2 linked regions of the Callithrix jacchus genome follow. The protein of the gene in region 1 purifies or fractionates together with the protein of each later gene. This does not show direct contact. Links are inferred from orthologs where the notes say so. Each region holds a gene or a part of one and is shown in the gene's direction. Other genes may lie near its edges.

Region 1 (3,955 bases):
CATATCCGCACATACCTTTTGTAGCCCCCACAGCCAGTAAAGCACCTATCACAGCCAAATGGAGAAAGCACCTTTTCATCACCAGACGCATTGTGTTCTTCCCTCCAGCAACCAAAGACACTGAGGGGCTGGGATAGGCCCCTATATAAGAAAAGGGTGCTCATTTGCATAGCCCTTCCTCTTCTCCTTCAGAGAATGCCTGGGAGGGGCCGGAGGAGAGGAAAAAGAAAAAACAAACTGACAAAGGGAACCTGGGCCCTAGACATTGCTTTCCCATCCTGCTACTCAATGACAGTTTCTGGTTTCACAGGGTCATTCTCATCTTGATACACTCTCGGGCAAGAGCTGACTGAAAGGCAGCTGCATAACACATACCAGACACAACAGTTCATCATGGGAGAGTGAATTAAACCAGGAATTTCTCAAATAGACAGAAACAAGGGCGGGCGCGGTGGTTCGCACCTGTAAGTAATCCCAGCACTTTGGGAGGCTGACGCGGGTGGATCATGAGGTCAGGAGTTCAAGACCAGCCTGGCCAACATGGAGAAACCCCATCTCTACTAAAAATACAAAATTAGCCGGGCATGGTGGCACATGCCTGTAACCCTAGCCACTCGGGAGGCTGAGGCAGGAGAATTGCTAGAACTCGGGAGGCGGAGGTTGCGGTGAGCCGAGATCGCGCCATTGCACTACAGCCTGGGCAACAAGAGGGAAACTCCGTCTCAATAAAAAGGAAACAAAAAGAACCCTGCACCCCAAAACAGAGACAGCGTTGGGGTAGGCTATGAGGCGGAGGCAACGACTCTTCCGAGGCCAAGGAATCCTTTACAACGAGATCCCTGACTTCCTGCTTTTCAAAGGAGGCTCCTGGGCCAGGTGGAATTTAACCTTAAGTCGATACATATTTTCCCCGGGAGTGGTGGAAATAGTGAGTTAGAAATCAAGAAATCCCTACAGACTAGAAACATAGAAACTCGGACCCTAAGCAGGTACTTGGAAAGAGTGTTCAGCCGCCCCACCGGGAAAGAAACTTGTCTAGCCCCCAAGAACCAAACTTGCCTGGGGCGGGGTCATTTGCGGGGAGGAGCTCTGGGCTGCCCCCCCCGCTCTGACGTTGACCAATAAGAAGGTCTGGGGGCGGAGCCAGGGAAACGCGGGAAGGTGGGGCGGGGCCTCTGGTGGCGGTCGGGAACTCTGGGGGAGGCGGCAACATTGTTTCAAGTTGGCCAAATTGACAAGAGCGAGAGGTATACAGCGTTCCATCCCGACGCCGGGCCACGGTACTGGGCCCTGTTTCCCCCTCCTCGGCCTCCGAGAGCTAGGGACCGCCTTCTGCAGGGTTCCCAGGCCCCCGCTCCAGGGCCGGGCAGACCCAACTCGCTGGCGCTTCATGGAGAACTTCCAAAAGGTGGAAAAGATCGGAGAGGGCACGTACGGAGTTGTGTACAAAGCCAGAAACAAGTTGACGGGAGAAGTTGTGGCGCTTAAGAAAATCCGCCTGGACACGTGAGTGGCCTCTGTACCCGGGACTCCTAAGGGGACCTCCTTAACTGTGCCCCCCAACCCCCCACGGGCGGGTAGCGGTCCAGCGACCGGAAGAGAGCAGGGAGGGACTTCTTTAGAAGTAGAGGGGTGGGTTGGGGGCCTGTAGAAGGTGGAGAGTACAGGGTGGTGTAGAATCTATGGAAAACTTTCTTCTCAAACTGAGCCCGATGGCGTCCCCAAATTGTGCGACCACAGAGACTCGGGGAGAGAAAGGAGGCCTCTGAGATGAAGTCCAAGACTCTCCATGGAGTTGAGTTATGTGGGAACAGACGAGTAGCGCCTTTCTGAATGAAGAGCCCTCCTCACTGCCCCACCCTCACCTAAGAATTCTCTCCTCTTTCCAAAGAATGGCAGTTGAACCTCACTGGCCCCTCTGGGGAGGTTGGGTGCTACTCCTGCATTTTTAAATTTATTTTTTATTTTCTCACCCGTTACAGTCTCCCTGCTTTACCTTCACCAGGCAGCTTTACTTACCTACCCCTGGGAAAAGAGGAGATAATGACCTTAATATGTCCAAAAGCCACACCCTGACTACCCAGGAATTAGCTCCTTCCAGCACCCTTTCTCTTCTCTCACTTTCCTAGGGGGTGCTGGGTGGTGCCTCCTTGGGGGAAAGAAATGACTGGGAGGGGGAAAAAGGAGTGTTTGTAACCATATTCCCATCTCTGTTTTCCCAACCTCTCCAAGTGAGACTGAGGGTGTGCCCAGTACTGCCATCCGAGAGATCTCTCTGCTTAAGGAGCTTAACCATCCTAATATTGTCAAGTAAGTATGTGTCTGAGAGTAGATCCAGTTGGAAAGAAGGATGAGTTCTGTCTGTACAGTGTGGCCATTTCTCTCTCTCGCACCTCCATTTCCTTGACCTTTCCTTCTCTAGGCTGCTGGATGTCATTCACACAGAAAATAAACTCTACCTGGTTTTTGAATTTCTGCACCAAGATCTCAAGAAATTCATGGATGCCTCTGCTCTCACTGGCATTCCTCTTCCCCTCATCAAGGTAATGCTTCTCATCAGCTCCCCCCTATCATGGACGTGTCTTGGGGGACTGATGGCAGGCAATTCTGGGTGATATTTTATGATCTTGGCCTTCTTCTGAGCCCTCATCTACTACACACACACACTCCCCTTCTTTTTGTGTCTTCTTCCCTGCTCATTATACTCATTAACTCCAGGGTTGGACTGAAGAATCAAAGTTGAAACTCTAGTGAGTCAACCTAGCAACTCAGGTGGGAGGTCAGATGAAACTCAGATAAATGGGATTTGAGAGCACCTGGTAAATTCCTCCAAAAAGCCCTTCTGTTTGGTGGAAGAACTAGCCAATGAGTCTATTATCTATTTTAGGGCTGGATTCTTCACTCCCAGAGCTACTTTGAATCTATTAACAAACATTTATTCAATGCGCAGCATATAGAAAAGGAATGCAAAGTTGAGTAAGACTTGCTCCTTATCCTCTCTGGGCTGACAGTTTAATGGGAGAAATACCTTGTAAATATGTAATTATAATCCAACGCAGTAAAGGCCTTAGTAGAACCATGGGGGCGCAGAGCAAACCCAATCTGCTCATTGTGGTGAAGAAACACAGTCCTCTCTTTCTCCTTTGTCAGAGCTATCTATTCCAGCTGCTCCAGGGCCTAGCTTTCTGCCATTCTCATCGGGTCCTACACCGAGACCTTAAGCCTCAGAATCTGCTTATAAACACAGAAGGGTCCATCAAGCTAGCAGACTTTGGACTAGCCAGAGCTTTTGGAGTCCCTGTTCGTACTTATACCCATGAGGTGAGTCCCTTTTTGCCTTTCTTCTCTGAGTTTCCCAAGAGGTGTTAACTAGGGCATTCACAAAGTTACTAAAAATATCTGGCCAACAGTTTCTTACTAGGTAGAAGTAATCTCTTGACATCCTAAAGAGTCCTAGGGTATGCATGGAATTCATACTGTGTTGCTAACTGGGCTCACGCCTGTAATACCAACACTTTGGGAGGCTGAGGTGGGATAATCACTTGAGCCCAGGAGTTCGAGACCATCATGGGCAACATAGCAAGACCACTCTCTACAGAAATAAAAAATCAAATAAAATTATGATGACCATTTGTCTCAAGTTTTTCCAGAAAGATCTCAAATTGGGGTTTCAGAAAACATGGTCTCCAGAACTATGGACTGAAAATCAGTGGGAGGGCAAAGATGGAGGGAAGGAAACTGCTTGTTAAGAGGCCAAGAGTTAGCAGAGTAATGCTGAGGAACTGAGATTTGGGACTCTCTGTACCCTATAAACCACCCCACCCTCCCTATTCTTGTCCCTCAGGTGGTCACCCTGTGGTACCGAGCTCCTGAAATCCTCCTGGGCTGCAAATACTACTCCACAGCTGTGGACATCTGGAGCCTGGGCTGCATCTTTGCTGAGATGGTATGGAGG
Region 2 (3,121 bases), on another chromosome or scaffold:
TCTAAAACCAAATAACTTTTCCTCAGAAATAAATCCTTCTTTGAATTTTCTTATTTATTTTTATCATTACCACCATACTAGCCATCCAGGTTGTAGATCTTTACACGTAATGAAGGCATAATCAGGGCATATAAGTTAATAAGGGCTATGCTAAGTATATGATCAACACTGAGGAGCACAAAAGATTTTAGAATTAATTCTGTGGGTGAGAGCTTTGGTGAAGGCTTTTTTATTTTTTATTTATTTTTTTGTGATGGAGTTTCACTCTTTTGCCCAGGCTGGAGTGCAATGGTACGATTTTGGCTCACTACAACCTCTGCCTCCTGGGTTCAAGCGATTCTCTACCTCAGCCTCCTGAGTAGCTGGGATTACAGGAATGTGCCAGCCACCATGCCCAGCAAATTTTGTATTTTTAGTAGAGACGTGGTTTCTCCATGTTTGTTAGGCTGGTCTCGAACTACCGACCTCAGGTGATTTGCCTGCCTCAGCCTCCCAAAGTGCTGGGGTTACAGGCACAATTCACCGTGCCCAGCCCTGGGGAAGGCTTATCAAAGTAATATGTTAGCTGGGCATTGACTGAGTCCTGTTTTGCCCAGAGAATTAAAGGAAGGGGCTTCTGAATACCAGACAGAAGTTTGAAAATACATCTGGTCCTTGACTTACCTATAGTGACTATACCAATTCAGTGGAAAGCTGTATCATAGTCTCTCTTGATGGTGGGCAGAGGCAGTGAGCTGCAGCTTCCAGGCAGCCATGAAATCATGAGAGTAAATGACTTATTTTCAACAGTGTACTTTACTACCAGATGATGTTGCCCAACTGTAGCCTAATATAAGTGTTCTGAGCACATTAAGGTAGTCTAGGCTAAGCTGTGATGTTTGGTGGTGAGCTATATTAAATGCATCTTCTTTAAAAAAAAATTTTTTTTTTTTGAGACAGAGTTTCGCTCTTGTTGCCCAGGCTGGAGTGCAATGGCACAATCTCGGCTCACCACAACTTCTGCCTCCCGGGTTCAAGAGAATCTTCTGCCTCGGCTTCCTGAGTAGCTGGAATTACAGGCATGTGCCACCACACCTGGCTAATTTTGTATTTTTAGTTGAGACTGGTTTTCTCCATTTTGGTCAGGCTAGTCTCGAACTCCTGGCTTCAGTCTCCTAAAATGCTGGGACTACAGGAGTGCGCCACCATGCCCAGCTAATTTTTTTGTATTTTTAGTAGAAACAGGGTTTCACCATATTGACCAGGATGGTCTCGATCTCTTGACCTCGTGATCCACCAGCCTTGGCCTCCCAAAGTGCTGGGATTATAGGCGTGAGCTACCATGCCCGGCCGGCATTACTATTTTAAGGCCCATAAAACAGGCCAGGCATGGTGGCTCATGCCTATAATCCCAGCACTTTGGGAGGTCAAGGCAGGAGGATTGTTTGAACCTAGCAGTTTAGACCAGCGTGGAAAACATGACAAAATCCCATCTCTACCAAAAAACCCACAAAAATTAGCTGGGCATTGTGGCATGTGTCTGTAGTCCAACTACTTGGGAGGCTGAGGTGGGAGGATTACTTGAGCTTGGGAGACTGAGGTGCAATGAGCCATGATCATGCCACCGCACTCCAGCCTGGGTGATGGAATGAGAATCTATCTCAAAAACAAAACATACAAACAAAAAAACCTTTATTACGCACCAACAGCAGAAAAAAATAACCAAAAACCTATAAAACATCCATATTTAAACAGCAACCTAATCATTTTCACTGTTTATCTGTAAAATATGTATAACCTGAAAGATAAGTGAAAAACATACAAAGTTTTCAAAACAATGTATGGTATGTGTTAAATGCTAAATAACTGGTATCTATGAATAATAATAAGTCCTATTTATAATTAATTCATGTTTCTAAAATGCATTCTCCAAACTTTTTTTTTTTTTTTTGAGATGGAGTTTCGCTCTGTCACCCAGGCTGGAGTGCAGCAGCATGATCTTAGCTCACTGCAACCTTCGCCTCCTGGGTTCAAGCAATTATCCTGCTTCAGCTTCCCAATAGCTGGGATTACAGGCGCCCGCCACCACACCCAGCTAATTTTTGTATTTTTTAGTAGAGACAGGGTTTTGCCATGTCAGCCAGGCTAGTCTTGACCTCCTGACCTCAGGTGATCTGCCTGCCTTGTCCTCCCAAAGTGCTGGGATTGCAGGTGTAAGCCACTGCCTGACCCCCAAACACTGATTTATGTAGTAACACTGAACAATGATTATGTTCTTTCAAGCTGGTTAAAAAAATTCTGAAGGGAATAAAATAGATTCAAGAGCTGTTACATCTTTTGTTACAATTTTTAACAAAATTGTAACAAAAGGTGATTATATCATTCTTAAGTTTCCTCCCATTATTTAAGGTGATTATATCATTCTTAAGTTTCCTCCCATTATTTACTGTAACCCAGATTTCCTTATTATTTTGTAAGACATATATATAAGCCATTATAACATATATTTAAAATGGACAGATACATAAAACTTATCTTTAAATGCATATTTTATATTTCAGTAGTCAATGACCATCAATCAAACAAAGGAAAAAAAACTAATTTCTTGAAGAAAGACAAATCTATGGAGTGGTTTACAGGAAGTGAAGAATGAGATGGCTCAACTAAACCAGTCTGGAACCTTTACTACAAAATGTCAAACCAACTGCAAGACAAGTGTCAAATGGGATGTTTAAGCAGTTTTGCCATGTTGTACATCTTTATTTGTTATTTTCAAAATTATATGTAAAAGTTATATAAGTCATAGTAATAGTTAAAAATACCAATCTATGAAAGTGGTCATTTTCAATGTAACAAGTTCTATTTTGATATTTTTCCATCTTTCAAGTCAGTTGCTGTCATCTGGAGTACTCAGTTAAGTTGTGGTTTGACCTTCCTCAACTTGACAAGAAAAGCTAATTTAAGAGAAGAAAAACGTAAAGTCATTATATTAATTAGATGAAAAAACACCATTTAATATGGTCTGAAAACATTACTCACCTGTATGACCAGCTTGCCAGTGTACTGGTCTAGCAATATAGGGACATGATCCATATGGAAAATCAGAATGTGATCCTTCTGTTGTAAAAAATATATGTACTAT

The links. Proteins that work in one complex are often made in the same cells at the same time.
Region 2: the proteins of CDK2 (region 1) and SPDYA purify together in Homo sapiens (affinity purification with western blotting; 7 studies listed by BioGRID). This does not show direct contact. The link is inferred for Callithrix jacchus from reciprocal best matches to the Homo sapiens genes CDK2 and SPDYA.

The regions. Positions count from the first base shown.
Region 1 is NC_133510.1:63,708,567-63,712,521, reverse strand, and holds the start of CDK2 (cyclin-dependent kinase 2), read left to right. Parts: upstream 1-1,155; 5' UTR 1,156-1,390; coding exon 1,391-1,506; intron 1,507-2,232; coding exon 2,233-2,310; intron 2,311-2,422; coding exon 2,423-2,543; intron 2,544-3,150; coding exon 3,151-3,321; intron 3,322-3,844; coding exon 3,845-3,946; intron 3,947-3,955. Other genes in the region: melanocyte protein PMEL, read right to left, coding at 16-91. UniProt on the Homo sapiens protein: Serine/threonine-protein kinase involved in the control of the cell cycle; essential for meiosis, but dispensable for mitosis. Phosphorylates CABLES1, CTNNB1, CDK2AP2, ERCC6, NBN, USP37, p53/TP53, NPM1, CDK7, RB1, BRCA2, MYC, NPAT, EZH2.
Region 2 is NC_133515.1:86,204,626-86,207,746, reverse strand, and holds the end of SPDYA (speedy protein A), read left to right. Parts: intron 1-939; coding exon 940-1,046; 3' UTR 1,047-1,058; intron 1,059-2,513; downstream 2,514-3,121. Other genes in the region: TRMT61B (tRNA (adenine(58)-N(1))-methyltransferase, mitochondrial), read right to left, coding at 2,890-2,933, 3,019-3,096. UniProt on the Homo sapiens protein: Regulates the G1/S phase transition of the cell cycle by binding and activating CDK1 and CDK2.